Mus musculus: one gene and its partners. The protein of the gene in region 1 interacts with the protein of each later gene in a pairwise test. Links are inferred from orthologs where the notes say so. Each region holds a gene or a part of one and is shown in the gene's direction. Other genes may lie near its edges. The genes, in order: Rabac1, Zfyve21, Mief2, Lnx1, Ndrg4, Rab33a and Rab1a.

Region 1 (4,583 bases):
CACATCTGTGATCCTACAGAATTCTTGGACTAGGAACAAAAATCAGAAGTTCAAGATCATACTATCCTTGCCTACAGAGCCATGGTAGAGAAAGAAAAAATAATAAAGCTGGCCATTTTCTAGCGGTGACCACCTGTAATCCCACCAGGTGGGAGGCAGAGAGGGGAGGATCAGCCATTCAGGGTTGGAGCACTTGGGGCTCTTTGTACTGTGACCTCTGGTGATCTCAGGACAAGACGATCCTGGGAGGGAGGAGTTGCATGGGCCAAGACCTCTCCTGGGACACCCACATACTCTGCTTCAATCACCTAGCACCAGGAAGGAGCATCCGCTTTGACAGAGGGACTCAGCACAGGACAGAAGTGGGGGAGGCCCCTTGAAGTCATGCAGCCGGCATTATGATCAAGGTCTCGAGTTCCTGTTAATATCTTCTGGCTTTTTCCCAGTGCCACTTGCTCTGGGAAGCACAGGAAAGAGCTCAGAGCCAAGTCCCATCTCCCACAGCCTTCTCGGATGTCTCCTACTACCTACTGACTCAAAACCCATCTAACGTGAGCCTCCTCCCTCAGGAACCTGAAAGTACCCCCTGCCTCATCACATCTCTACCTCAGGGTCCTCGCTTCCACTGTCCCAAAGGACTCCTTTCCCAGCTTCCAGACACCTATCCTAAAAATCCCAGTATTCAAATTTCTTACATTCTTTGAATTAGTTTGCCACTTTCTGCAACAGTGTTGCCTCTGGATCCCACTGCCTTCTCCACTGCCTTCTCCCGAAGCCCCGACTCCCACCAGGGCAGCAGAGACTTGAGGGTCATGAAATAGAAAGAATTTGCTTAGTCCTCTTAAAGAAACTGAATTGGTTCCCATAGCAGTCAAACCCAGCTGACTTTTGCCGCCAAACTGGTTTCCAAGGTTCTCTGTCTTTTCCAGTACTCTGGCCTTGTGGTGTCCCTCTTTAGTCTTTAGGCTAACTGTACATTTGCAGTCCTCCACTGATCTGAAGCAATGCTGGACCCCAAGTGGGAAACCCAGACACAATTTCCTGCTGAGTGGCCCATACTGAAATCCCAACCCGGAGGAGTTCCGTTCCCAGCACCCATGATTTCTAGACAGCTCATAATTGCCTGTAACTCCAGTTCCAGGAGCTCTAAAACCCTCTTCTGGTGGCACACACGCATAAACATATAAAAGTAAATCTTTTCTTTTAAAATGCAAACATTTATTTTTAAATCATGTGTATCTGAGTGTGGGTATGTGCACATGAGTATGTCTGATTGGCTAGAGCTGGAGTTTCGGGCAGTTGTGAAGCACTGGGTGTGGATGCTGGGAACCAAGCTATGATCCTTTGAAAGAGAAACAAGTAAGCCATCTCTCCTGTCTCACTTTCAAAGTAAATACTTTTAGGAAAGAAAAAGTAAATGAACTCTTTCCCAGACTTGCCCAGTTAGAATCAGAATATCTGAGTTTTCGAACAATGTTTTATTAAGCTCTCTCGAGCCAGAACGACAGCTCTGCACGGTCCACGGAAGTACGTTTCTGCCATTCGAACTCCCACAAAATCCTCTGTCCTGACAGTCCACCTGCTGTAGTCCACGCTGAGCCTCCTGAAACTACAATTCCCACAATGCCTAGAGGCTCCCGACGAGCTCTTAGCATACATCTCCCAAGATGTCTTGCGAGGCAAACCTGCCTCTTGACGCCACGATGACTACAACACCCACAATGCTTGGAGGAACAACTACCGCCCTCTAGAGCTCCCAACGACGCCACTTCCAAAGAGTCCCGGCTGGGGTGGGGCCGCCTAGGTGCTGCTGGGCTCCGGGCTATTTACAGCGGTTCTATCCACTGCAGTGCAGACATGGCGGCCCAGAAGGACCAGCAGAAGGATGCCGAAGGGGAAGGGCTGAGCGCCACGTGAGCAAGCAGGGTGTTACCCCCAGATCCGAGATGCAGGAGTCCCTCATCTCCTCAGAGGTCCTGGGAGGGACTCAGTCCTGTTGGCTCCCTCTCAGGACCCTTCCTCCTAGGGGTTCAAGGTCATGCTTGGGACCAGGTGTGCTAGAATCTGGGGTCCAGATTCTACCCTCTCCCTCCCTTCAGCTGCTCTGCTCTGCCCTGCCCATTAGGACCCTGCTGCCCAAGCTGATTCCATCCGGCGCAGGCCGAGAGTGGCTGGAGCGGCGCCGGGCGACCATCCGGCCCTGGGGCACCTTCGTGGACCAGCAACGTTTCTCGCGACCCCGCAATGTGGGAGAGCTTTGCCAGCGCCTGGTACGCAACGTGGAGTATTATCAAAGCAACTACGTGTTCGTGTTTCTCGGCCTCATCCTGTACTGCGTGTGAGTGCCTCTGCGGCCCCGCCCTCGATAGTCAGACCCCGCCCCCGGCTGCCAGGCCCCGCCCAGACCAGTTAGCCCACTTTGTCACTACAGGACCCGGTCAGTCTGTACTCCTGCATTCACCTGACCAGGATGTGGCCTTCGCTGGCCTAGAAGGACGTAACCTCAGTCTGTGTCCAAAGCTAGAGGGGCCTGGCTGACGCAGCCTCGGATACCTAACTCCTGTCTCCCACACTCTTCCAGGGTGACATCTCCCATGCTGCTGGTGGCTCTGGCTGTCTTCTTTGGCGCCTGTTACATTCTCTATCTGCGCACGTTGCAGTCTAAGCTTGTACTCTTTGGTAAGAAATCTCCTGCCCAAATGGCTCCTCGGGCCTTTCTGATCGTGGTCTCACGGAATGCAAACTTCCGAATAGTTGGGACCCAAGACGGCCCCCACCGAGCTGTCCACTAGAGTCACTTAACTTGGTCTTTAAGGGCTTAGACCCACCAGGTGCTCCCCTCCAGTCTCAGCTTCCCAAACCCAGAGAGACCCCAAAGCCCTGGCACCTCTGTCTCTTGTAAATGACTTAATCCAATTCCACTCAACCCCCCCCCCCCCCCCCCACGGAACGCATCAGCTGCAGATACCCACACTGCACACCAGGTGGCGACCTCATGCAGGCCTAGATCCGTGTTCCTTCCCAAGTCTTGGCCCTGATGATTCTCAGAGGGGAAGGCTGAGATCTGTAAGTCCGGTGGCCCCAGACTGTCACCAGGACCACTGGAAAGAAAGGTGTCAGGGAAGACCCAATGAGGGGAATCCAAAAGTTTCCGAGGAGACTTAAAATAAGTCTTTCATAGCCCAGCAAGCTTAAGGACCAAACAAAGATAGGCTGTGGCAAAGAAATAGACTGAAGCAGGTCAGAACTTGGCTTCTGCAGGTAGTGGTCACTAGGACATACACACTTTTCAGGCATAGGAGAGCGTGGGGCGGGGGTGGAGGAAATTAATATATATGTACTAGGGTTTAAAGAGTGTGTTGCTATGCCCTAGCCTTAAAAAATGTGTAATGCGGGCCCTCTGGAAGAATACGTGCTTTTAACTCCTGAGTCACCTTCTCCAGCCCCCACAAACCAAATTCTCGCAAGGTGCATCAAAGAACACATCCTTAAAACCAGAAGCTGGCCTGTGCCTCTAATCCCAGCACTTGGGAAGCTAAAACAGGAGGATTGCTACAAGTTCAGGATAAGCCTAGCCGGGCGGTGGTGGCGCATGCCTTTGATCCCAGCACTCGGGAGGCAGAGGCAGGCGGATTTCTGAGTTTGAGGCCAGCCTGGTCTACAAAGTGAGTTCCAGGACAGCCAGGGCTACACAGAGAAACCCTGTCAAAAAAAAAAAAAAATCAAAATAAGTGCCTAGAGAGATGGTTCAGCAGTTGAGTACTCAGTTGAGTACTGTTCTTGGTTTGGTTCCAAGCACCCAAGTCAGGTGGGTGCCCATGGCCACCTCCTCATGGGCACCTGATCTTGGGCACGTATGCGTGCAGGGCATATACACACAATTCAAAGAAATAAATCTTAACAAAGGAAAAAAGGGGACAAAAATCCTTAGGTCAGATTTGACTGTGGAGCCACCAGCCTGAGACTCCCGGTGACCAGGGTGGAACATCAGGCCCTAGTCTGAAGTGACCTGAGGGCTCCTGGGAGAGGTGAAGCTAGACAGCAGAGGTGGGGCAGAGGAAGGTTGTTATGGGGACAGGGGGCTTTGGGGAGGCAGGGTAGGGGCCAGGTATGGGAGACACTGATGTGAGGAGTCTGTATTATTACATGGAAGGTTCCAGAGTCTGTGACACTAGATGGGTGGAAAGTGACCCTGGACACTTGTGGGAAAGGGTCGGGTGGGAACGGCTACCTTACACCATCTGTTCCCAGGCCGGGAGGTGAGCCCAGCACATCAGTATGCCCTGGCTGGTGGCGTCTCTTTCCCCTTCTTCTGGCTGGCCGGTGCTGGCTCTGCTGTCTTCTGGGTCCTGGGTGAGTACAGGGTCTGTGTAGGGTGAGGCTGGGAGCCAGGCGAAAGAGCACAGCCTGAACCACCCATCCCCCTACAGGAGCCACGCTGGTACTCATAGGCTCCCACGCTGCCTTCCACCAGATGGAGCCTGCAGATGGCGAGGAGCTGCAGATGGAACCTGTGTAAAGTGTCCTCCAGGACCTGCCGGCCTCTCCTGCCGGCCGGCTGTCCCATCTCTGTCTGTTCTCGT
Region 2 (2,753 bases), on another chromosome or scaffold:
CTATCTTTGGAACCTGCTTAGAAGCAGTCTAGAGCTGACTTCAGAGATGGAAATGTCTGACTTATTGGTGGGTACTGCCATCAAATGGACAGGGAGCCTCAGCTAGCAGCACCTTCCCCAGATGGAAAGCTGTCACTACAAGTCAAATTTGTGTGAGCATGGCCCTAAGGGGAGAGGCCTGGAGACAAGCTGTAGCAGGTGCAGAAGCTGGTTCTCAGGGAACCAAGGAACATAGGGAGAGTTGTCTTGGGGTGAAACCTGCCTCCCAAGTAGCAGAGCCCTGCTGCTGTAGGCCTGTCTGCACTCCACAGGCGAGGGCCAGCCTCTTCTCTATCACTTTGGTCTTGTTCACTCTGCTCTAGGGTAGGGTTACTATTTTTTGGTCACCTGCTCACCTCCTTTAAAGGTTGTAACAAATTTCAAAGCTTTGTATGTGCAGCAATGCCTTTATGTGGATGGGTACCTTCCCTACATTACATCTGTGCACCATGTGCCTGCCTCATGTCTACCGAGGTCAGAAAAGGATGTCCATTCCCCCGGAACTGGAGTTATAGGCAGAACTGAGCACCGTGTGTGTGCTGGATATTGATTCTAGGTCCTTTGAGAGAGCATCAGTGCTCTTAACCACTGAGCCTCTCCAGTCTCCAAGCAGTGCCTTTTTAAGCTTTTGAGATCCTTAATTCATTATTGCCTTTTTGCCTAACCAAAGGGACTCTAAACACAAAGCTGTCATTTGTATCAGCTTGTCCCTTCCCATGTGGTAGTGGAGGAGAGCTTTGCTGGCCTGAGAGCACGGTCTGGTGGCAGTTGGAGGAAGCAGTGTCATGTGCGGTTTGGTTTTGTCTTCCAAGGAGCTACCTTCCTTGTTACTTTTGGGGACTCAGAGAAGCCCGAGACCATGGTTTGTCGTCTTTCCAACAACCAGAGGTAAGAGTAGACGTCCCGCCGGCACTGGCCCGCCAGCGCTGTCATAAGCGTTAGGCCTCAGTCTTAGGGTTTCCTTTCTTCGTTACAGGTGCTTGGTTCTGGATGGGGACAGTCATCGTGAAATCGAGATTGCACATGTCTGTACTGTTCAGATTCTCACAGAAGGCTTCACTCCTGGAGGTACATGCCTTAAGTACCTATGTGGGCACAGGAGGTGCTGCACTTGGTCCCAACATGGCCCGCCATGCTCTTTATTGGGGCTGTGTTAAGTCTGTAACTTTAGAACCCACCAGGTAAGTGGAGAGGAGATGATGAGGGGAGATTAGCCTGCTGTCCATGTCTGCCTGTGACTTAGGTCATCTTAGTCACTGTTAGACAGTGCTCCTGATGCAGTCTGAGGTTCCAGACAAGGTCTGTGGTGGTGGTGGCTGATCTGGAGCCTGCTTGCGGGCCTGCTGTCACTGCCTCCCCTGCAGGCATTGTGTAGCCCAGGTCCTCGGTCACTCCTTGGTGAGCTCAGTGGACTCCATCGGCTGAACTGCACAGGGCACTTTCTGAACTTGCAGATCTGACCTAATGCATCTTACTTTCCATTTTCTGACTGACTCTTGGTTGTTTCTTCTTTGCACTGCCTGCCTACCTTCAAGTAGAAAAAGACATTCACACTTATACCAGCCTCCTGGGGAGCCTGCTTGCCTCTGAAGGTCAGCTTCCATCCTCCCTGGGTCCCTCCTCCCAGCATGCTGTGATGTCTGTCTCTCCTCTGGCCCCTTTGCTTCTATCTCTTGGGGTGGATTCTCAAACTTGGGGTCACTTCTTTTTGATTAAGAGAGATTCTAGGTTCAGCCTAAGAGCCTATAAAGCCCAAGTCAAAGTGTCCTGAGAGAACAAAGAAGCTTGCTCAGTTCTTTCCCAGGGAGAAGTTATGCAGGAGTTGACAGCTTCTATCAGTATCGGCCAAGTGTGTGGGTTCTCCTTTGCCGATTGAGCACCAGGCATATGCAGTGGGCGGCAACTTTCATCACTGTACCCAGTAGCTTACCTCACTCAGACCCTGGCCTCCAGGGTCCCTGCCTCTCACTCAGCTCCTCCAGCTTAGTCTCAGAGGCCCAGCAATGGAACGCCACAGGGAGGTACGTGAGGTGCACGGAGCATTAAGCCGGTTGAAGATCTCCTATGCTAGATGCTCACTCCTTGGCCTCCACTAGGACACCCTCGCCCCCACCCTCCCCCAGGGGTGTCAAGAGTATCTGCGTGTGTACCATGCACAGGAATATCTGCACGTGTGTGTGTGTACAGTGCACATGCCTAGTGCCTTTAGAGAGGAGAACAGTGGTTTAAGTCCCCTAGACCTGGAGCTACAGATGGTTGTAAGCCATCATTTCTAAGTTGGGAACTGAACCTAGGTCCTATGTAAAAGCAGTAAGTGCTCTTAACTACGGAATCATTTCTCTGGCCTCCATTGGCGGCGGAGAGGAGGGGGTTGTTAAAATTTTTATGGCTACACAAAGCTCAAAACAGCCACAGCCAGCAGTGGCCATGACCATGTTTGAGTACATTTTTATTTACAAAAACCGGTATAGCCCAGATAGGAAGCTGTACAAGTCTGGTTGAGGCAGCTCAGCCCAAGGCCTTCAGGTGGGTTTTGAAGCATCTGAGTTATTACAGAGTCAGAAAGCCTCTCTGGGTAAGACCACCCCCTCCCCCACCCCTACTCTCACCCACAGCCAGAGGTTTTGCAGGCAAGGAAGTCAGGCCTCTTCCTGGCTGTGGTCTGTCTGCATGCCCAGTCCACTAGCCAGTGGGACTCAGACTGCTTTGATTTT
Region 3 (4,515 bases), on another chromosome or scaffold:
CCCGCCCGCCCCGCCCGCCGGTCCCGGAAGCGCAGAGGAAGCGGCCCGGGGAGACGGCCTAGGGGTCGCCTTTCCCCTTCTCCCCCAGCTAACCTTGAAGTCGTTGCCGCTGAGGTCCACGCCGCGCACGAACGGCAGCACCCCGGTGGCCTCCATGGTGGCGCAGCTCTCTTACGGGCAGGGAGGACGCGGGGCGGCCGAGAGCCGCGGGCTGGGTCAGCGCCGGCCCCGCCCCTTTAACCCGCGCGCGCCGCCTCCCGGCCGCGGCCTCTGCGGGAAGTGCTGCTAGGCGACTCCCAGAGCTGCGAGGCCTCCCTGGGACCAGAGTTCTGGGGAGGCCTGTAGGGGTCCCGCTGGAGATGATCAACACTTCCAGTCTCCTGTCGGAACGTGGAGGGTGGGGTCCAGGCACTGTCGCTTGGGCTGCTGTAGCCTCTGGGGCTGGCCGTGACCCAGGAGTGATGGTGGTAACAACGTCAGGGACACAGGCAGTTTGTGTGTGAGGGATCAGTGGTGGTGGTGGTGGTGGTAGTGGTGAGACTTCCGGGGCTTTGGGACCTAATCCTTCAGCTTCAGGACTCAACTTTGATCATGTGTAACACGGTCCCCAAAGTTGCCAGAGTACTCACATGTGGCAGCTTAGAGAGCAGGCTGCACAAACACTCACAATTCTCCCTTGGCATCAGGACTCCAGTCACCATTCTTTATTGATTTGTTTTGTGCTCTAGATCAGTGTATATCTCCTGGGCCAAGCTCTTAGTGGCCATCTTGCCCTGGCCAGCATACAGTAGGTTTCCCATAAACAGACACAGCTGTTCTATGGAAGTCCAGGGTCTGGCATCCCGGGTTTCAGGAGGGAAGAGACTGATAGAGTTCCCACGACAGATGGCAGAGCTCTTTTCCCATTATGTGTCAGGCAGGCCAAACGGAAATGGAACCACCAGGCACTCTAACAGGGGCGAACTTGAGAGGCAGAATGTGGGCCTTTGGGCTAACTGCAGTTTTGTCTGCCTGGCCCACCAAGGGACCATGAGCTCAGACTCCACACTGAGGCTCTCATTACAAGTACACACAAGGTCAGATGTGAGACTAAGTACGACTGCTGAGAATTCGATGTCAGTTGTGGCTTTAGTGTGAGGCCCTTTCTCAAGAAACAAAACACCCGAAAGTAAGTAAACTAGACAAGCCCCTGAATGATTGTCACACTCACCACCTCCCCCGCCCCCCTTGCGCTATCAATATAACCTTGCGCCTTTAAATCCGGAGTATGCTTGTGGTTTCCGCCCCAGACGGTCCCGGGGCGTGCCTGGCGATCATTGGCTGAGCTGCTCCGTTTTGAGCACGTGTGCGCAGGAGTTGTGCGCTCGGATTGGAGCGAAGGCCTGCTTATCCAGCGTGCCTTTCGGGTCACTTGCCGCCTCGGGCCTCGGCGTTCGGTTCCCGGGGTTTGAACGTTCCATTCCTAGGCGAGTCCTGGGCCTCCAGGGTCCTACTCGCCCTGTCCTTGGGTCCATGCGCTGACGCTCGGACGCAGGTACGGCTACAGCGCACCGGGTGGCCCGGTGTCTCCCAGCACTGGGCGTGGCGCGCATCCCGGGGCAGGTGGGGGCGTGGCCTGCGGTCACTGCGGTGGGAGGGAGGACTTGGGAACTGAAGAGCAGAGTTCGAATCCCAGCGGTGCCTCTTCCCGACTTGGGTATTGCACACGATTTCCAGGGCCACAGTGACTTCGCTCTTGAATAGAGTCTAAGAGCCTATTTGGTTACACGTTTCTGCTCAGTCATGATCAGAAGCAATCAGCTTTGGCCAGAATGTAAGAACAGGTGAAGTTCAGGCTGTCAAGAGTCGGGTTATTTTGTTATTTTTGTTTTGTTTTGAATAGAGGCTCTATTATGTAACTCTGGCTATCCTCCAACTCAGTGTGTAGACCAGGCTTGCCTTGACTGCCTCTGCCTCTTCAGTGCTGAAATTAAAGGCCTGCACCACCACATAGGGCCTAAGTGGGTTATATTTAGTCACCTATTTTATTCCTTTCTTACTGGAGTTTGAATACAAGACCCCTCTAGGTGTAGGGCTGAGTCCCACTTTAGACAGGTGATGGAATGCAAGCCCCTTCCATTTGCAGAGTGGCTTACTGCTCTGAGGGCAGTGGTGGGCAGTAACAGAGCAGAGCTGTTTCTGAGCTTGGAGTAGGCTCCCTGGCTGCCCTTTGACCTTACCAGGCTCGAGGACAGGGTCTTATTTTTAGTCTGGGGAGCATGGACAGGTGTCTCAGCTGAGTCACACAGTGCCTAAGGCTTCAGCTACTCTAGGCATCTTGTCACTTGGCAACTGAGTCCCAAGGCAACCATGGCCCTGAAAGAAGGGCTGAAGTCCTTGGTGCCCCGGCAGGCAATGACCTTTCTGGCTTAGTGGCCTGGGCCTGTGGATTTCTGTGACTTTTTCCCAAGTTCCTGACTGGGCCAGTCACACACTTCCCAGTCCTTACTGGTGCGGTCGTACAAATAAACAGAAGCCCTTGGCTCCGGGCCTTTCTCTCACCTTCTTACCCTCTCCAACTTTGTTCCGAGTCCATGGGCCCTGGCCAGCTTGTCCTGATTCAGTGTTTATTTAAGCCTACTTCACTCACCACTGCACCCTGGGGCCTTCAGCCTGGCTCTGATGGGGTTGCCCTAGCCCAGGTAGTTTTCTTGTCAAGGTCTGGGGGGGCCACTATCTAGATTCCTGAATTTGCTAAGGGTCTATCAAAGGTCTGACAGGCCCCACCCAGGCAAACTTTCTGGAAACCCATATTACAAGTATTTCTGGGCCTTTGGGTTCCTCCTGACTGGTTTTCACACAGTATGGCTGTTCTGGGTAGGTTCTGATTAGGAGTGAGGGAACTCGACCAGGAGGCATGGGGAAAATACTCAGGCTTTGGGAGTGGAAGAGTCTGGGGGCTGTGCTGTGAATCCCAGACCTTAGCACTCAGTTTGTGGCTTGGCAACTTTTGTCTTTGTAGACTCAGGGTGGTGATGTTGAACCCAGATTCCCAAGGTCTTGGGGTGGAGTCAGGAGAAAGGCCTGGATCCTTCCTATATGAACCCTTTTCCAGGGCTTGGAGGCTTGCAGGATTCAGGGAGGGGGCTGGCAGGTCCCCTGATTCCCTCCAAGAAACTCTTTGAGCAGCCCCTTTCTCACGGGTCCCCAGAAACCACCCTCTTGGTCATTGCTAAGCATCTATGCCTTACGAACTACATCTCTTTGCAGGTGACCATGGCAGAGTTCTCCCAGAAGCAGAGGAAACAGAGCGGCAGCGAGGGCCTGGGCAGTGTGGTGGACTTCCTCTTGGCTAATGCTCGATTGGTGCTAGGTGTGGGCGGGGCTGCAGTGCTGGGCATTGCTACCCTGGCTGTAAAGCGGGTAAGGCCAAGGGGGCAAGGCCTGCCTGAAACCTCCACAGGAGAAGGCCAGACTGGGGAGCTGGGGGACGGTGGGACTTTTGAGGTTGGACTGGAACACGGGGCCCCTACTTTTTCACCCTAGCTTCCTGGTTTGCTTTCCCCCCAGCTTTGCCATGGCCCCCGATGCTCTGATCTGTGTCACTTTGCCTATAGCTCATCGACAGGGCCACCAGCCCTCCAGATGAGGATGACACCAAGGGGGACAGCTGGAAGGAACTGAGCCTGCTGAGAGCCACATCGCCCCAAAAGCCCCAACCCCCTCCTGCTGCCTTCAGCCAGCCCCTAGCTACTGGGTCCCCCTCCCCCTCTGTGCCAGGTGAGCTACACTGCTTCTCTCTAGTGTGGTGAGCCCCTTGCACATGCCCAGCTAGTGAGCAGGTCGAGTTTTCTTAACTTGTGGGGCCTTCTAATATGTTCTCCTGGATGCTTCCCTCCGCAGTGGAGCCCACGCCCATTCATTCTCCCACGACACCTAAGTTCAGCACTATAGCACCCCTGTGCCTGACGTTCCAGGAGAGGCTGCTGGCCTTCGAGCGCAAGCATGTGATTACCCCAGAAGCCCACGTGACGTTGGCGAAACAGCTGGCTGGAGACATTGCCTTGGAGCTGCAGGCCTACTTGAGGAGCAAGTTCCCAGAACTGCCCTTTGGTGCACTCGTGCCGGGTGGGCCTCTCTACGACGGGCTCCAGGCAGGGACTGCTGAGCACGTGCGCCTGCTGGCGCCTCTGGAGTTGGAGCCGGGGCTATGGAGCCTGGTACCTGGCGTGGACACTGTGGCCAGGGAGCCTCGATGCTGGGCTGTACGCAGGACTCAGCTTGAGTTTCATCCCCGTGGGTGCAGCCCATGGGACCGCTTCCTGGTGGGGGGCTACCTCTCCTCCCGAGTCTTGCTGGAGCTGCTACGGAAGGCCCTGTCAGCCTCTGTCAACTGGCCAGCCATTGGCAGCCTGCTCGGGTGTCTGATCTGGCCCGATGTGGCTTCGGAGGAGCTGCTGCTCAAAGTGCAACACGAGTGCCTGGAGTTCACTTTAGCTGTGCTCATGGTAGTCCCTGGGGCCAGCACTGATGACC
Region 4 (4,437 bases), on another chromosome or scaffold:
TACAAGGTACCGAGTGACAGGGAGCCAGCTACCAATGTGGGCACTCAGGGAGAAGGTGCTTTTTTACTATTTCTAACTCTAGCTGTCCCCTAGTCCCGCCCACAAACCACGGCTAGGCCGTGAGGTGTTAGAACAGGCGACTTCTACAGTTTCAAGATCAGGAGGGGGGAAAGATTTTCAGCAGACGTTTTCTTCGTTAGGGGACCAAAGTGTGCCTGGACCAACCCAGGAGAGAGAACTCCCCAGGGTCCCCAGGTAGCACATTCCGAACAGTGACTACATCTGCGAGGGAGGCTGGCTGCGAGCCACAGACACACAGCAATTCAACAGGCTGATGGGACAAGATGCCACAGGCCTTAACCAGCAGGCAGGAATCCTCTTAGCTGTCACTCAAGTGCCAGCTGAGTCGTGCCATTAGCCTGCTGGAAAAGCTGAAGCAAGGGTGACTTGTCCAGGGTCACACACCAAGCTTGGGACCAAAATAGCCCTGAGTCCTCTTCCCTATCTCTCCCTGCAGACAACATGGCCTTAGTAAGGCGCTATCATTCTAACCTGAATCATTTAAAGTACTCCTAATTGCAGGCCTACTGTGGACTGTAACCACCACGTGACAGACAGGCCGAGGTAGGAATGCCTGAAGTTTTACCAATGCCTGAATCTATTATTAATATGCTGGGGACCGCGAAGGTGTTTGGGAAATGATGCTGAAAGGTATCAAAATTAGATTTTTTTAAGTAGACTTAGGTCATCTCTGGTTTGTTATAATATTGGGACAGAAAAACACTAGGAACTCAAAGGGATGTGATTCAGAAAGGCGTTAGTGGGGACAAGTCCCAGATATGGCTAAGTCTTCACAACCTTTTCCTTCCCCCCCCCCCCCTACAAAAATCCCTGTCTCCTTCCAGTGTTTAAACTTCCCTTTTAATTCTGATGTTGGCAGCTGTGTGGGCTCCTGTGAGCCTGGAGGGGAAACAATATCAGGCATACAAGATGGGCCTGGGAAACAATCAGGCATTCGCATTCAGATCTGTACACGGGGCTAGACACGTGCTATGCTCAGAAAGGAAAGTAAATTCCACTTGGCAAATTGCTCTAACTGATTCATTTGTCCTCTGAGAGACGCCACCTACCTGCTCCAAGGTAGTCAGGTAATTGACGGGGGCGGAGCCTCTGGGGATGTTTTAGTCCCTAAGGTCTCAGCCAGACTTCCGTGATGTCACAGATTTCCTGCTCTGAACCAACCAATACCCTTCTTCTTCCTCCAGCCACCTGTACACCGAAGTTGAGACCGGTCACAGCTCAGGCGGCCCTAGACGCTTCTGGCACAGGGATGGAGGCTGGCTGGTCACTGCTGCTTTGAAAGTCCCAAACATCTTTGAACAGGTGAGAAGAAACTACTTTTTCCTCTCTTTAGACCTCTGGCCCAAAAGGGATCTGAACAAGGAATCTGAATTTAAAAAAAGAAAAGAAAAGAAAGAAAAAGTAAAAGAAAGACCACTTACTGGCTCAGTCCAGAGTAACACTCTGAGAGTAGAGATGTCTGCGCCAGTCTTACTCCATGGCCAGCAACGTTATCTCGGCCAGATATTTAATCATTTTTGTTTCCTGATTATTAATCCGGCCTCTACTTGTTGGTGACGTTGATCTGATTCTTTTTAAAACCCCTGAGAGAAGTGAGGTGAGATGCTTTTTGAAAGTTAGTTCAAATGTGCAGACCAGTTCAGCCTGTTTTGTGTGTGTGTGTAGGGGGTGGTGTGGGGTGCTGGGGACATTCACAAAATTCAGATTGTCCTTTTTTTTTTTCTTGCTTGCATTCATGTCATCTGAAGCAATTTTGATCCAAAGCTGTAATACTTCCCTAGGTCTTGTTGTTTACAATAGAAAGTCAATACTAAAGGTAATAAATTCTGGCTCCCTATTTATAAGCTTTCTTCTCTCTCCCTCTCTCTCCTTCTCTCTCTCTCTCTCATAAAAATCCTTTAGTTTCCTTTATTTGTGGAAAATATTTAGCAGTCTGGATTAGAACTGTTTACCTTCAGGCCAGATAGGTTGCCTGCTGACCTTTGGCTAAAGTAAAGATTACCCTTCAAGGCCACAAGAATGTAACGCCAGGCCTGGCTTTTGAATTGTTGAAACTCTCTTGTTGTTTCTATCTTTTCTATATTAATAAATATATGGAAGAGGCTGCTCTGCTAGGACCCGACTCTAAAAGTAATTGTAAATCCTCAAGGACCCATATTTATTTTTCTAATCCTGACCACATAACCTGCTCTCAACGAGCCTGAGAGACCCACTCCACTAGCTAATATTATTAACAAGGGCAAAGAAACAAGTCCCCAATCTGTCTTCTTATCAACTTAGCTGGGAAGCTCCAGGAGAGAAATAAATGAATCCTGAGACATTCCATTTTATAGACTTTGATTAGTCCCTTTCCTGGGTCTTAAATTAGCAGCGGGGTTTATAAGGAAATCATCCACTAGGAAATAAGCCCAGAGACAGCCCTCTAAAAAGTAAAAGAACATGCCAAACATCCAACTGTACGAACGCACTGCCCTCGAACGGCTGCTTCTTGCTGGTAAGTGTCTGCTTTGTGCTTGTTACTGGTTTCTCTCTGACTCTTGGGAAGCTCGTAGTCTCTTTTCTAGCTGACCTTTGTGCCCAGTATTGTCCTCTAAGCTAGTGTGTTTGCAGAGTGACTGCCGTTGATGCCTTAATAACATTCTCAGTTGATTCAGAGGTTTGTGAGCAAGGTGAGAGAAGGACTCCCCATAGCCTGGATTTTGTACGCCATACATTTGTCTTTGATGTTCCAAACCTCTGCAAACTTTCACCCCTTCTCCTATACCTGGTTAATTAGTTATTTTTAAAACAATGGACCTATTATTAAATAACAAATTGTTTGATCATTGTCTCTAACTGCATAGGAAAATAATATTATGTTTTTATTGCCCCCAATTCAAGAAAAAGGAAAAAAAAAAAAAAACCATGACAGGGCAGAAATCAGAGTCCAGTCAGTGTCTAGTACAGGGGTGGGGTAGCTTGTTGGATAACTTGCAGGTGTTCTCCCTGAGAAGTTGCCATGACAACTCCACTAGTTCAGGTGTATACCAGTGCGATTAGGAGATTTTACATCCTTTAGCAAATTACTGAACTTCTCTGGACCTCCATTTCCTTCTCGGTAGGATAAGAGATATAAGTACTATGTAATGTGGTTCTCTGAGTAGAGGCAGTGCCTGGTACTGAGCCAGGGACAAATGAAAGCCAAGTCCCTCTCTACTGGAGGAATTTTTCTGGGAGCTTGGACGTGTGTGAGCCCATGTAGCTCTCCTGTGGCTGCACTGGTTCAGAACCCGGCTCTTATTACTGTAATTAATTGTCAGTAATTAACACCACTGTTAACAGTTTGGAGAACACACAACAGTCCGGAGGAAGGAGAATGAACAAGCTGTCATTCCCTGAGCCAGGCAGCGTGGTCTGCCAGCCCCCTTGGCGAAGCAGAGTCTGGAGTGGTCGCTCTTCCTTCTTGTCCCCAGCTCAAGGCTCTTTTGATGCATTCACAAAGTGTGAGTTCCTAACGGGCGTTCAGGAGAAAGTCTTGTTGTTGTCGTTGTTGAGTGCTCTGACTTTCAGGGAGCCCAGTTCGTTTTCATCATGCTACCACCCTGAGTAGCCTTGGGTACTTTGTCCCCTCTAATCTCATAGTCAAACATCTTCTACCTCAGACTCCATGAGCATTTGGCCAGGTCAGTATGAGAGGTGACAGATAATTGCAACCTGTACCACTCTGTGGAGGGAAGGCTCATAGAACCTTTGGATAAAATCCACACCTATGAATAGAATATGTTGTACCCATCAATGACCTTGAATCATTGCATCAGAGCAGTTGTGGTCCCAGACCCGCTGCGGGCTTCTTCTGGTCCCACCCTCTTCCCAAAGTGTAACACACATTTCTGCCATTCAAGAGCAAGGGCCCAGTGAACTGAGGACTGGATTCTAACCTTAAAAACACTACATCTTGCTGAAGGGGACTCAAAGGAAGGACCTCGGGCTCCTTGCCCATCACTTGCCTTGACACCTCCCACCCCACCCCTGCCCCTGCATTCCCCAATCTGAAACCCCTGCATCCTACAATAGAACACAGAGAAAAACTACCTAAATGCATGGGTCAGAGTAATGGAGATCAGGGGCAGGCAGTGCCTCTTGCTGGGGCAAGATGGTCTTTTAATTCCAGGTGAAGTGGGCCTGCCATCCTAGAATAGGGAACTAACTGATCTTTGGCATCAGACTGCCTGGGCTCAAAGCCCAGTTCTAGCATGTGATTTCTTTATGCCCCAGAGAAACTTTTTAACCTGTCTGGAACAGCCCTGGCACCATGTTAGGAAGTCCTCATGTGATGCTCTCATGGTCGTAGGGATCAGACAGATCTGTCACACAATT
Region 5 (3,487 bases), on another chromosome or scaffold:
GCAGCAGCGGGCTTCCCCAGGCTAGCCCTCTCTGGTCTGTCTGTCCCATCTCGGCCCATCTCGGTGCCCTGGGCCTGGTCCACTCTTCACCGTGTTCTGTGTCTCCCCCACCCTTGCCCTCTCTGGCTGTCTTCTCTCTCAGTTGCACACTTGAAGGACCGAAGGCTGAGTGGAGGAGCAGGTAGTCCATGGCCTATGGCCTATAGCCCATGGCCTGTCTGCTGATGCATGGACACCCCGCCCCTCCCTGCCCCGCCCTAACCCGCCCCGCTCCTCTGCAGTGCTGCAGCTGCACTATGTCTTGCTGTGGTGTGGAACCTTCTTGTGTTATGCTCAGCTCAAAGCCCCGGAGGATCCCTGCTCTTCCACAGACCCTGGTCTGCTGAGGGCTCCGTCCCGTGTGGGACCTGACACACTGGCTGGTCTCAGAGCAGCCGTCTTGTTTCTAGGTTGCCGTGGGCTGTGGGGCTTCCAGAGCTTTGGGAGTTAGAAGCAGAGCCTGCAAACACAACAGTGCTAGGTTTGCCTTGCAGACATTGTCTGCCCCCTGCCCAGCCTCTAGGTGGACTGGCCTTACCTACAGTAGTAGAAGCAAGATTCAGGCAGTCTGTGGCTGATTGCCTTCACAGAAGCAATCCTGCCCCCCCTCCACCCACGCTACCCCACCCCTGTCACTTTTTGGATGCAGGTCTAGTTGGCCACAGAGCGTCTCTCTATCCCAGGTCAGGGTGCCTATAAGCACCTGCCCTGCTCTGACCATACATAGCTCTGGGTAGCTGCTGGGACCTAGGCACCTGCTGGCTGTAGCCCATTAGCCTGGCCTGCTCACCGTTGCTGACTGGTCCTGCATGCCTTGGCCTGGTATAGCCAGTGCCAGAATCCTCTGCGTGTGGCAAGACTGGGTGTCACTGGCCGCTTTGCTTGTGTTGTTTTTTTTTTCCCACCGGCCGGTACCCACCTTGCCTGTCCTCAGGACCCTCTGTTCTTGTCCATAGTGCCCTCAGCCAGCATGACCCGCCTCGCACGCTCACGTACCGCGTCCCTCACCAGCGCCAGTTCCGTGGACGGCAGCCGCCCTCAGCCCTGCGCCCACTCAGACAGCAGTGAGGGGATGGGCCAGGTCAACCACACCATGGAGGTGTCCTGCTGAAGCCCTCGTCCTGCCCATGATGCCCGCTTACCTGCCCCCAGGTCCCACTGCCATCTCTGCACCGGCTCATCTTCCCTTTAGTTTTATTTTTGTGAGAGTGAAGGGGAGGAAATGGGGTTACTTCTCTTTTATTTAAAAAGAAATGAGGGGATCCACCTTGGGACAGCACAGCACAACAGTCTTAGATGGTGTGAGGGGCTCGCCTTACACACTCCTGTCTCACTCAGTGTGGCCCCTCCCCTCTGCCCAGCTGGGGCGTGGCCAGGATAGTTAGATACAGTACTGAAGAAAGCCCAGCCCAGCCCCTGGATCTGGCAGATGTGAGGTTTGAAGATGGTGGGTAGTGAGCTAAAGCTCTGATGTGAGTGGGAGTCAGACCAGTGGGCAGCCTTGGACCTTAAGAGTGTCCCTTTCCTGTAACCCTTGCATCAAGCACACCTATTCTAATAGTAGAAGTGACAGTCATGAGGATGGTAGCCACAAGAGGGCGCTCTAGACAGACAGCCATTTTCCTGGTGCTCTCTGGGCAGGACAGGTGGTGTAAGGCCAGCCAGGCTGAAGAATATGGAGAACCCTGACATGGGGGCAGGAACCCCCATACCCTGCCACCACAGGGCCTTGTCCCACCCTGAGGCAAAGGTCACCTGGTCTCTTGTCCCTGTTGGCAGAGGTTAAAATGTTGATTGCTGTGTATGCTGTGTGTAGCCCCTGAGAACTTCATGATTACCCATCCCTTTGGAAGCTGGCAGGTACTGTAGGTCCCTCTTGTCCCAGATTTCACCAAGTATTTGTCACAGTGCCCTGGTCAACTTGGGCCAGTGTGTCACAGACAATACTTGAGAAGTGAGCTTGTTAGAAAGACACAGATGGGAAGATACAATGACCTCTGCTTGCTGGAGGGGCTGGAGATTGCCTGGCCCTTGGGTGGGAAATGGGCCATCCTCAAACAAAGGTTCCATGCCTCCTACAGCCCACAACTATGCCCGCCATCTCACCAAGTAGGCGCTCACAGCCTGGCCATTGGTTTCATCTGCTCTCATCCCCAGAGAGGAGAGAAAGCACTAAGTGTGTATATGGGGAGTGGGGATGATGTATGTGGTATTGTATGGGTGTTCTGAGGCAAGAGGACACCCACATCCATTTATCTGTGGCACATGCCGCCCCTTTCTGTAACTGTAAGCCATTTCTAGACTGCTCTGGAGTCCAGTGGAGTGTTTCCTATCCCCGGTTCAGTTCACTCACGTGCTTCCGTGAATACTGAATGTGACTGTTTAGAGGTGGTAGAACTAATCCCTTACTGTAGATAGCACTCCAAGTATTGGACATCTTTTTGCTGTGTTCTTAAGATATCTATAAATACCTATACATTATATATATATATATATGTATGTATATCAGGTCCTCCTTCCTGTATGTGGTTTCCCATTGGTAGTTGTCTTCTCTTTGGTCAAGATGAACTTTTAATGGAGTTCATTATTTTCCTCTCTGTACAAAGTTAAGAGCCTAATTTTGTGTATTCTGTTTGGTGGCTGATAAAGAGACTTTGAGATTACAAAATGCAAAACAAAAATCCTTGATATAGAAAGTTAACTGTGCAGAAAAACTAATAAAGAAATTAAGTCTACGTGTGTCGTGTTTCCTATCACAGGGAAGGCTCAACTGTTTAGGCTGCCTGGCTGCCCCAGGGCGCTGATAGTTGGAGGATAGTGCCTGTTAGACACATTTGGTTGGGGGAGGGTTGAGCAATCTTTCTGTAGCCCAGGCTGGTCTTGAATACTCAGCAATCCTACTTCAGCGTCATGGGTGTTAGAATTATGTAGGCCACCCTGCTTAATTTTTTTTTTCCTCTTAGGGTGATAAGAGATTGAACCAGGGTGTTTATACATGATGGTCAAGGTTCTACCAAGCGGCTATATACTCTGACTGAGATATAATTTTACCAGTCCTGATACTAACTCTATTTCACAGCTGAGCAGAAAGTTTAGCCAGCAAGAAAGACCGCTTCAAAGCAAGGGCACAACACTATTTGCTTGGTTTTAGTTGTTTTGGGACATGGTGTCACTCTGTTGTCTGGCTTGCCAGAAACTCCCAGTAAACCACAAACCCCCCTCAACCTTCCAGGTACTGAAACTAAACTACTGAATTCTCCATGTTACCGTTTGTGCTATCATTCATTCACCTTATATTACTTCCAGCGTCTCTCTCTGTCTCTCTCTGTCTTCTCTCTCTGTCTCTCTCTTCTCTCTCTTTTCTCTTCTCTCTCCTCTCTGTCTCTGTCTCTCGTCTGTCTGTCTGTCTCGTGCGTATGTGTGTGTGTAATGTGGAAACCCTTAAGGC
Region 6 (4,694 bases), on another chromosome or scaffold:
TCCACATCTTTAATCCTAGCACTCAGGAGACAGAGGCAGGCAGATGGAGCCAGAAGATTAGAACAGATGGCCAAAGTTAGTATGAGGCCAAGCAGAGCAATCCAGTCAGAAGCTGAGAGAAGCCAGTTTGAATCAGTCAGCTTAGAGAGGAGTTTGGGCCAAAACAGCTGACTTGAACCAGTCAGACAGAATTCAGAAAGAGCTAGAAAGGATGGCCTTATTCAAAAGTAAGCCTTAGAGGTTGAAACCATTCTGGGCCTAGAGTAGATTATACAGAGTCTAGAAGCTTCCAATCCTAGGCCTAGGTTAGCAGATGGAAGCTGTAAGTCTCTGAGATGACAATTATACCAGGTGAACAAAAGTTACTTTTACATTTTTCCTTAGTGGGAATGGATTTCATTACACTGAGGCTTCCTGTAGATCAGCCTCACATGCAAAATGGCAGCTCATGTGTGCTGCTGGCTCCCCTGACTTTGATGACATTAGCAATATCTCATATGTTGATGCTAATGGTATATGTCTGTGATACCTTAGCCTATGAAATATAAGGGAGATGAGCAAATTCCTAAAACAAACATAAAATGGGTACTCATTGTTGTATGCAAATCGTACCTAAGTTGACTTCATACAGATGTTAAACCTGAAAGTCACTTTTGGGAGATGGAATATGGGTCTTGACCAAGTTGTGTGATGGTTAGTAAGCCTTGGGAAGCTACCCTCTGAAATCGTAAAAAAGTTGTATTCATTTATCATCTTCCAAGCATAATCTAGGCTTCTGACAAATTAGACCCAACCACTATATTCTACATTCACTTGCAGGGGGTGGGTGGACCCTCCTTGGGATTCCAATTCCCCTTCAAACTCTGCCAATCTGAAACACCGTATGGCTTTGTGAAGGGCTCAGTGTATCAGGAATCATGGGGTTTATGCCGTGTCCTAAGTGCCCTCACCTGGGCCTGTAATGGTTAGCCACAGAAACAAAGTCCCCCTTTGCTGGAACTGTCCCCACTAGTTCCCCCTCCTCCTAGCCTCTGTATGGCCCTCTCCCGCGGCGGGCCTTCCTCATTGGCCAGCCAAACACAACCGACTGTGGCAGCCAATGGGAACCACCCTCCTGAACATTCAGAGGGTGGGTGCTCGTGGTGTGATGAGGGGAGGTTGGCGCCTGGTACGAGCCCCCCTACATCTGGCAAGTCTTTGACAGAAACAGTAACACCCCCTACACACTCACGCCCGTGCCCCGTGTCTGCCTCCTTTCAGCTGCGTGGGGGCCCTCCACAAGCCACTGCGTTCACTGGTGTCCTGGCAGTGTCCTCCCCAATTCCTTGGGCACCAAAGAGTGCACCTGCTTACTCAGTAAGACTGAATACCTCCTTTTCCTAAGACTTGGTGGGGGGAGGCAGGGAACCACAGTGGCGCAGCTGTCAGTGGCTGTGGAGGTGTGAACAAGGTATCTCAGATCCCGACCCCTTAATGCTGCACCGGACTCGAAACTCTCCTGCGATGCCTTAGGGTACAGCGCTCTTTGTCTTCCCCAGCTGTGCTCACTGCCCACCGAGCCTATGCGCTCAAAGTAGGGGTGGGAAGCCTGAAACCCACCACAGAACTGGGGACAAGAAGAGAAGGCTCGCCTGAGGCGCTGTGTTCCACACTCCTCATCCCTTCCCTGTTGTGCTTAGGCTTTCTCCCTCCAGTGTGTCCCTGGGGTCCAGAAGGGGAGGGTCTAAGCAAAGGCGCGGCACAGCCTGAGCCTGCAGTCCCAGAGCTCACACACCGGCAGAAGGAGACCTCTCAAGGCTGGCCCAGTCTCCATTTCTTCTCTCTCAAGCTTTTGTGTCTGTGCCTTTGAGCTGAAAGGAGGGTGCACTAGGAAAGGAGGAGGGGTGCCTGGGGTGAGAGCACCCTCTTCACGCGCGCGCGCACACACACGTTGCCGGCGCACGCACACACGGGCGGACACACACTTCCAGACGCGCGTGCGAGCACACACACATACACACACACACACGCACAAAGCTCTCTCGCTTTGAGCGCACTAACGTGGCCGCTTTCTTTGTGTGGAGCCCTCGAGTGGGGTTGGGACCCGGGTCCTGTCCCGGGGAGATGGCACAGCCCATCCTGGGCCATGGGAGCCTGCAGCCCGCCTCAGCTGCTGGCTTGGCATCCTTGGAGCTCGACTCATCGATGGACCAGTACGTGCAGATTCGCATTTTCAAAATCATCGTGATTGGGGATTCCAACGTGGGCAAGACCTGCCTGACCTTCCGCTTCTGCGGGGGTACTTTCCCAGACAAGACTGAGGCCACTATCGGTGTGGACTTCAGGGAGAAGACCGTGGAAATCGAGGGCGAGAAGATCAAGGTGATCCTGCTGGTCAGGTCCGGGCAGGGAGGAACCTGGGAGGGGGTTTCCGCCTGAGGTATATTGCTAGTGATAATAAATGACTAGCTTTGGCTGTGTCGCCACCTGCCGAGCTCAAGACCCTGGGCACATCCACAACCCTTTTAGCTTCTTTCAGGGGCCCATCCCCACCTAACCCAAATTTTCTGGCAAGCCAGGGTGGTTGCATTCTTACCCTTTGCCCCTACCTGACAGCTTTGGCCGGGAAAAGCAGGTTTGAAATTGTTCTCAATCCTAAACGGGAGAGACACCCCTGAACACAGAAAGGCCTGAGACATCTCTGGTCCTAGTTTTGTGGGATGGATCTCAAAGCACTTTACACATTTTGAGGTCCTTTCTACCTCTTGGGTGCCAATAGGCTGCAAAAAAGAAAAAAAAAAGTCATCCTGGCTAAGCCCTGTGACATTAGAGAGGTTGGGAATAAATGGAGCAAGAACACGGCTTTATTTTAGAATGCAGTTTATACTTGTGAGTAGAGCTGACTTGAGATGGAGGTGGCATGGAGCATGGTTATGTCACAAAGCCCTTTTAAAGGCTGAGACACAGTCACCTGCTGGCTCTTCATAATCTCCCAAAACTTGTTCTTTGGGGGCAGTCCCTCCCAGATGCTTGCTGCTTTAGATCGGTTTGGATGAAGCTGGTGAATGAAGAGCCCATTACTCATTCTACTGGCATTGTCTTCAGAAGGCTTGTTGGGAAACACACAACAACTTCTCTGAGGGTCAGGGGGAAGTGCCTTGACATAGTTTACTAAATAGGCCAAGTACAAATATTTTTGTATGTTCATTTAGTGTAGCGAAAGTAGAAACTCGGTAAGACAGGGTATGTCAGTGTGTTGGGAGGGGGTAGCAGGAAGCGGGGTATGGCAAGGACAGCTTTGTGTGTCATAGAAAGCTTGTAAGAAGACACCGGGGTTACTAAACACCAAGTCCTCTAGACTCATAGCTGGCCTTTGCTTGAGCAGGACCCCCGGGGAAGTCAGAGATGAAGGTAAACTTGTTGGTCAAACAGCTGAAGGAGACACATGCCCTGTCCTGTGTTCTGAGTGACACAGAGTGAAGGACTGGTGAACTGGAGAGAATGACAAAACACCCCAAATTGTGCAAGATTTCTTGGTGATCAAAATGATTGCATTTTAAAATGACTTCAGCAAACAAGCCAAAGCACTGTGCTTTAGGAAGATGGGTGGAGAGAGAAGGAGAGATTCTGGGTCTGGGAGATAATAGATTCTTTTGAACTTCTGATCTATTTTAGCTCTTTCCAATCTGAGGCGACAGGGATGGCCTTTTAAAGCCAATGCGGGGATCTGTCTTTTTTCTTTTTCAAGGACTCTTCATGTTGAATGTTTGCACAGGTCAGGGCTTCTTCCTTGACGGTGCCTAGTTTCTTTAATATATGGCTATAAGACATTGGAAAGTCTAAGACGTGATTTTTTTATAATCAAAGTAGAAATAAATCAATGGATGCATTTTAAAACACCTTCAGAATCATGTTTAATGTTATCATTTACTTAAAATCAGCTATTACAGTGAGCTGAAGTGTTTCCTGGGCTTAAAAGTTGGAGCAGCATATTAAATCCCTCTGAAGTTTGAGTGGTGGGGAAACAGAAGTGCATGGGAGTCTAGGAGGGAAGGGAGATGAAGGGGGAGAAAGGGAAGAGGAGAAATGAGGGGTAGGAGGTGAACAGTGGATGGAGTTATCAACCAATGGCCTTGGGGAGGGCTTTAAACCATTACCCCACCCCACACCCCACACCCTACCCCCGGCCCTGGCCACAACCACCACCCCTGGACTTAACCTAACTAACTGGCTTTCAAGTCCCTGCCAAATATCCTAGACTTTTTTTCCCCAGAGGGCAGAGCCTGTGACAGTGTGACTCACTGGAAACAGATCAGCACAACACCCCGTGCAGATAAGTGCTTAATATGGGTTTTGAGGGGAAGATGATATTTCTAAAAGGACAAAGCCTTGTAACACAGTTCAAGGAGGAACCTCTGAGGACAAATTGGGCAAGAAACCTCAGTGGAGTGTGGGACCTGGGACATGCTGACCTCACTCCCCTGTAAGCTGTTGAATCGCTAAGGCCAAAGCTGGCAGGTGAGAGACCAGAGTGTCTGTGGCAAGATGGCAGAACATGGCAGCTGGCAAGAAATCAAGAAGGACGTAGATTGTGCTTCATGCTTTTTCTGCAAGAAAAAAAAGTACCAAAACATGGTTAGGGGTAGGGGTAGGGGTAGGGGTACGGTTAGCCCCATAGTTCAGCCAGCTATAGTAAGCTATCAGATTATAAGTAG
Region 7 (4,674 bases), on another chromosome or scaffold:
ACATGATAAATCCTAAGACAAAACAAAACAACAATAACAACAAAATTTTTGCTTGAAAAATTGAGTTTAGGACACTTCAGAGTTTTTATTCTGTGAAATGATAAGAGGAAGTATGGTGGGCTTTAGGGTCCAGGGCTGTAAACCTCCATCTAGGGTCATTTCAGAAGTTAGTATGGAAAAGAACCCAGGAGGCAGAGGCCAGGGAAACACTGAGTTCGAGGCCAGCCTGGTCTACAGAGGGAGTTCCAGGACAGCTAGGGCTACACAGAGAAACTCTGCCTCAGAAAACCAAAAACCAAAACCCAGACAATAACAAGAAAACTCCCAAAACTATGTATGTGTGGTCTGATGAGGCTGTCAGGACACACGGAGGAACGCCAGAGGGATGTGTAAATATGTTCTGAGTATATGGTTAGTCATGAGAACAGCCTCTTTTGCATATTTTGATGTCACAGAAATTCAGAAATTAAAAGTAAATCTACAGTTGGCCCCAGGAGATAATATTCTTGCTTAGAACAAGTTGGAAGATAAACTTTGGTCAGTGTATTATACTATGCCCTTTGTAATAAATAACGCAAGATAATGCGTTAAAGTTTAGCGGAGATTTAAATTCCTGAGCTGATTAAAGTTGACACCATTAGGTCTAAAAAAATGTATTAATATTAGTTCTGGAGTCCGTACTGAAGAGTTTCATGGCTTAAAAAAAAATACTTATTACTGCCCAGTTGTGCAGACGGACACAGAATTAGTACTAATAAAAAACAAAGAGCAGCAAAAGCAACTGCAACCCCCCCCCCTCAAAAAAAACAAAAACAAAACTTAACAACCCAACCCAACCCAACCCTATCCCGGAAAACAATTCAACTTTTAAGTCTAGGCCTCAAGTAGGAGGAGAAGACTGGTTAAGGCTGACTTTAGCCTGTGTCTCAACAGCACAATGTTAAAGGTTGGAGGTCGAGATGGAGGAGCAGTTTCAGACAGGGAAATCTGGCTGTGTGAGCAGAAGAGAGACTAGAACAGGGTCCATTTGCAGCTATTGCAACATCAAGTTGCTAGAGTAAAACGGTAAAAAAAAAAAAAAAAAAATTAGAGAAGGAGTCGGGTGAGTGAGAAAGCGCAAGGTCTACAGAGGCCGCTTGAGTTTCCTGCTGTCCTTAGAGCAGCCTCAGACCCTGATGGTGATGGCCCCTGTGGTCTTGCCTGAGCAGAGCTCGTCAAGCTGTCTCCACCCCTCCTCACTGTCCCAGGCTTCCTGGGAGCCCCCTCCCCCTCTGCTGCGGCACCGCCCTCCGCCGAGTTCCTTCCTCCTCCCCTCCCGATGGGGCACCGACTCGCCCTGCTGCCACGTCTCACTGATGACATCAACACAGCCCGGTCGGCCTTAGCCAATCCGCTAGGGGGAGTCCGAGCGAAGTCCTAGCCAGCAGGCCAGCGGGGAGGGGAGCAGGAAGGGCGGGGTGTGGGGGTGAGGGAATCGGGACGGGGCGGGCTACAAGCTCGAAAGTGCGCATGCGTTCAGGGCGCGGGGCCTAGTGGGAAGCTGAGTGCAGACAGCCCTCGGCCCGGTCGGGCTGCCCAGCGCGCGGTGTGCTCATGACTCTCTTTCCCAGCGTGCCCCGCGACGCTGCCGCCCTCTGGGCCGCGCCAGGCCCCTTGGCCTAGGCTTCCCCAGTTCCTGGTTCGCCGGCGGCCATTTTGGGTGGAAGCGATCACTGAGTGGCGGCGGCTGCTGATTGTGTTCTAAGGGTCGGAGTGGGGTCGACGTTTGCTCTACCGGAACAGCTTAGCTCATTCCTCCCTTTCCATTACCTGTGGCGCGGAGAGTTGGGGCGGCGGCTGCGTCAGCAAGGGCGGTGGTGGCGGCGGCGGCGGCGGCAGCTGCAGTGACATGTCCAGCATGAATCCCGAATAGTGAGTGCAGGAGAGCCGGGGCGGGCCGGGGTGAGAGCGGCCGGCCGGGGGTGAGGGCCGCCGGGAGGTTCGCTGCGCAGCGCCGGGAAGGTCGGCCGGGCGAAGGAGACGGAGCAGCCTGAGGGCCCCATTGTCTGAAGGCCGAGGGCCGCAGCGCAGCGGGGAGGGGTCGGGCCTGCGGGCCGGGTCCCGACCGCAGCCGGCGGGGAGCTAGGTGCCGCGGCTGGGCGTTGGGGAGAGGGCCTCGGACAGTAGCCAGGAGGGGCGCGTCTCTGGAGGCAGTGACGGCTGGAGGAGGACTTGGTTTTAAGGGGAGGTAGGTGGGAGAGCTCTGCTAGAGGGCACTGTCAGACCCTGCGCCGGCTCTGCGGAGCTGTCAGCGTCGGCTTTACTTGTAAATCCCGAGCTTGTTAGAGCTCTCTCCCTGTTGGGTTTTAGGTAATATGGATGCTTCTTGGGACTGCGTGGGCTTGAGGGGGATGAGGAGATGGTGAGGAGCTATTTATAATGTTTAGTTTTCTTTTGGGCTTGTCTCCTGGGAGAGTTCTGTGAGACTTGTGAGACGTGACCCTTACAAAATCCTGGACATTTGTGAAATTTTTGGTTTAGGGGAGACATGAGTCTCCCAGTCACCTTTTGTCTCCAGTAGGTTAAGAAGAAGAAAAAGAAGAACAAAACTGAACTAAAAATAAACTAGAAATGTCTTCCTGGTACCACCAAGTTAAAGTACAAGTTTGCAGACAGTTTTGAAAAGAAACTAATGGGGCCTTTGATGATAGAGTTGTATGTAGGTTTTAGATTACCTGCTTGAATGCCTGTAGATAGGAAATGAGGTTCCATGACGTGTCATGAAAAGTTAATGCATTCCTTTTTCTTGCTTACTCAAGAAGTCACTGTAGCAGATGTGACACACCTGGCACCTTTCATGGGAACTGCGCTTCTCCTTTCTTGGATAGACATTGTTAGGCTCTCTCTTTGAACCCAAAATTCTCCTATGGTTTCCATATATGAAAATAACTTTAAGAGATGCCATTTTTATTATACTTTAGTGTCAGAAATCTTTAAGGGAGAGGGATTTTTGTTGGTTTTTAATAAGAGAAATCACTATTGCCGTAAAAGCTGGGCTTTATTTGTTGCTTTGGTCAGTTACCGCTAAGTGTGCCCCCATGAAAGGTCCAACCATCAGCTCGGCTGACTTGTCATGTGCGTGTCACATGACTCTTGCAAAAGACATTCTAAGTTCAGGTTTTCTAAGACTGGTTTAATACTGAAATGGTTTTTCCGTTTGTGTTAAGCAGAGGTCTTAGTATCTTGGTAGAATTTTACATACTTTTTTTTATTGTGTGTGTGATGCCTGTGATTGCAGGTGCACAGGTGTCACCTTGCTTGCTTCAGAGGTCAGGGGACAACTTTTGGGAGCTTATTCTTCCTTTGTGGCTTCAGGGATTGAACTCAGATAGGCACTGTATCCACAGAGCTATGTGCTTGGCCAGGCTTCTGTACTTGAAAAAGTTGGGAACAGTTCACATGGAGACACAGGTGCTGTGTTTGCAGCCCCTCTCCCAGGGCAAAATTAGTTTAGTTAAGCAAAGTTGAATTGGGGGTCCTAATTAGATTTTTGTGGAAACCAAAAAGAAGATGAATTTGTTATATTAGGAAGGTTTCTAATTTCTATTTGAAATTCCTGTTCTATTTGAGGAGATTCCTATATTTGTTAGGTGTGTATTTAAGTATTTTTATTATGCTTCTCAAATTTCCTAATGCTACGACCTTTCAATGCAATTCTTCATGTTGTGGCGACCCCTATCCATAACATTTTCATTGCTACTTCATAACTGTAATTTCGATACTGTATGAATTGTAATGTAAACAGCTGATATAGGATATCTGGTATGTGACCCCTGTGAAAGGGTCCTTTGACACCCAAAGGGGTTGCCACTTACAGATTGAGGACTGCTGAGGTTAGAGACACCTCCTGGAGCTGGAGTTAAGAGTACTTGTGACCAGCTGATGTGGATGCTAGGAATGGAACTAGAGTTTTCTGCAAGAACAATACATATTCTTAACTACTACTTGATCTCTCCAGCCCATGTTATGTGTTTATTTTTTAATACTGTAAGAGATTTAACTAAGCAACAAAAATTTGATGTTACTCAGACGTTGTTTCTCTTTTTATAAAGTAGTATAAAAAGTCATTTTTTACTGCCTACTAAAGTAGTAAGTAGTGTGGTTCATGAGTACATAAAAGATGTTTTGGACAGCTCTCCATCCAGATCATGCTGTAAGTAGAGTAAATCATTTTAATGTAAGCTTGGACTTCGGAGTGTGAGCCTTAGCCTCAAGGGGCCTGTGATGTAACATACAGACTAGATTCTATCCATGTCAAATATTAGGAGATACTGCATGCAGATGTGCAACATGGATCAGATCAGTGTGGTTTTAGGGGAGTCACTTGTTCTGGTTGGCTGTTGGGTTTTGGAAGATTGTTATAGAAGAGACAAGTAAGAAACTTACCCCAGGGTACCAGTAAGGTAGTTCAGCAGACGAAGGCATCTGCCACCTTTATGAGTTCCATCTTTGGAAGGAGAGAACTGGTTCCTGCAGGTTGTTCTCTGGTCTCTCCACATATATCCCTCCCCCAATAATCTAAACAAGCAGGGTGAAAAAGAGAATTATTAGCATAGAAGTGAAGCACGGAAGGCTTTTCAGGAGGGAAAAGGAAGAGGAATGGCTAATAAATAGCAAGAAGAATTTTTTTCTCCT

The links.
Region 2: the proteins of Rabac1 (region 1) and Zfyve21 interact in binary tests that used the Homo sapiens proteins (3 or more experiments, as listed by UniProt). The two-hybrid records come from large-scale screens. The link is inferred for Mus musculus from reciprocal best matches to the Homo sapiens genes RABAC1 and ZFYVE21.
Region 3: the proteins of Rabac1 (region 1) and Mief2 interact in binary tests that used the Homo sapiens proteins (3 or more experiments, as listed by UniProt). The two-hybrid records come from large-scale screens. The link is inferred for Mus musculus from reciprocal best matches to the Homo sapiens genes RABAC1 and MIEF2.
Region 4: the proteins of Rabac1 (region 1) and Lnx1 interact in a two-hybrid assay, tested with the Homo sapiens proteins (2 studies listed by BioGRID and IntAct). The link is inferred for Mus musculus from reciprocal best matches to the Homo sapiens genes RABAC1 and LNX1.
Region 5: the proteins of Rabac1 (region 1) and Ndrg4 interact in binary tests that used the Homo sapiens proteins (3 or more experiments, as listed by UniProt). The two-hybrid records come from large-scale screens. The link is inferred for Mus musculus from reciprocal best matches to the Homo sapiens genes RABAC1 and NDRG4.
Region 6: the proteins of Rabac1 (region 1) and Rab33a interact in binary tests that used the Homo sapiens proteins (3 or more experiments, as listed by UniProt). The two-hybrid records come from large-scale screens. The link is inferred for Mus musculus from reciprocal best matches to the Homo sapiens genes RABAC1 and RAB33A.
Region 7: the proteins of Rabac1 (region 1) and Rab1a interact in a two-hybrid assay, tested with the Homo sapiens proteins (2 studies listed by BioGRID and IntAct). The link is inferred for Mus musculus from reciprocal best matches to the Homo sapiens genes RABAC1 and RAB1A.

Annotation. Positions count from the first base shown.
Region 1 is NC_000073.6:24,969,857-24,974,439, reverse strand, and holds the start of Rabac1 (prenylated Rab acceptor protein 1), read left to right. Parts: upstream 1-1,711; 5' UTR 1,712-1,857; coding exon 1,858-1,913; intron 1,914-2,125; coding exon 2,126-2,338; intron 2,339-2,581; coding exon 2,582-2,679; intron 2,680-4,251; coding exon 4,252-4,353; intron 4,354-4,364; exon of another isoform or gene 4,365-4,430; coding exon 4,431-4,519; 3' UTR 4,520-4,583. UniProt on the Homo sapiens protein: General Rab protein regulator required for vesicle formation from the Golgi complex. May control vesicle docking and fusion by mediating the action of Rab GTPases to the SNARE complexes.
Region 2 is NC_000078.6:111,824,002-111,826,754, forward strand, and holds part of Zfyve21 (zinc finger FYVE domain-containing protein 21), read left to right. Parts: intron 1-851; coding exon 852-927; intron 928-1,015; coding exon 1,016-1,107; intron 1,108-1,574; coding exon of another isoform or gene 1,575-1,631; intron 1,632-2,753. UniProt on the Homo sapiens protein: Plays a role in cell adhesion, and thereby in cell motility which requires repeated formation and disassembly of focal adhesions.
Region 3 is NC_000077.6:60,727,034-60,731,548, forward strand, and holds the start of Mief2 (mitochondrial dynamics protein MID49), read left to right. Parts: upstream 1-1,364; 5' UTR 1,365-1,534; intron 1,535-1,629; exon of another isoform or gene 1,630-1,693; intron 1,694-3,249; 5' UTR 3,250-3,255; coding exon 3,256-3,402; intron 3,403-3,596; coding exon 3,597-3,759; intron 3,760-3,882; coding exon 3,883-4,515. Other genes in the region: Flii (protein flightless-1 homolog), read right to left, coding at 94-156. UniProt on the Homo sapiens protein: Mitochondrial outer membrane protein involved in the regulation of mitochondrial organization.
Region 4 is NC_000071.6:74,699,738-74,704,174, reverse strand, and holds the start of Lnx1 (E3 ubiquitin-protein ligase LNX), read left to right. Parts: upstream 1-1,271; 5' UTR 1,272-1,383; intron 1,384-1,502; exon of another isoform or gene 1,503-1,703; intron 1,704-4,437.
Region 5 is NC_000074.6:95,712,183-95,715,669, forward strand, and holds the end of Ndrg4 (protein NDRG4 isoform C precursor), read left to right. Parts: intron 1-142; coding exon 143-181; intron 182-995; coding exon 996-1,150; 3' UTR 1,151-2,774; downstream 2,775-3,487. UniProt on the Homo sapiens protein: Contributes to the maintenance of intracerebral BDNF levels within the normal range, which is necessary for the preservation of spatial learning and the resistance to neuronal cell death caused by ischemic stress.
Region 6 is NC_000086.7:48,517,498-48,522,191, forward strand, and holds the start of Rab33a (ras-related protein Rab-33A), read left to right. Parts: upstream 1-1,787; 5' UTR 1,788-2,103; coding exon 2,104-2,361; exon of another isoform or gene 2,362-2,378; intron 2,379-4,694.
Region 7 is NC_000077.6:20,199,742-20,204,415, forward strand, and holds the start of Rab1a (ras-related protein Rab-1A), read left to right. Parts: upstream 1-1,670; 5' UTR 1,671-1,888; coding exon 1,889-1,911; intron 1,912-4,674. UniProt on the Homo sapiens protein: The small GTPases Rab are key regulators of intracellular membrane trafficking, from the formation of transport vesicles to their fusion with membranes.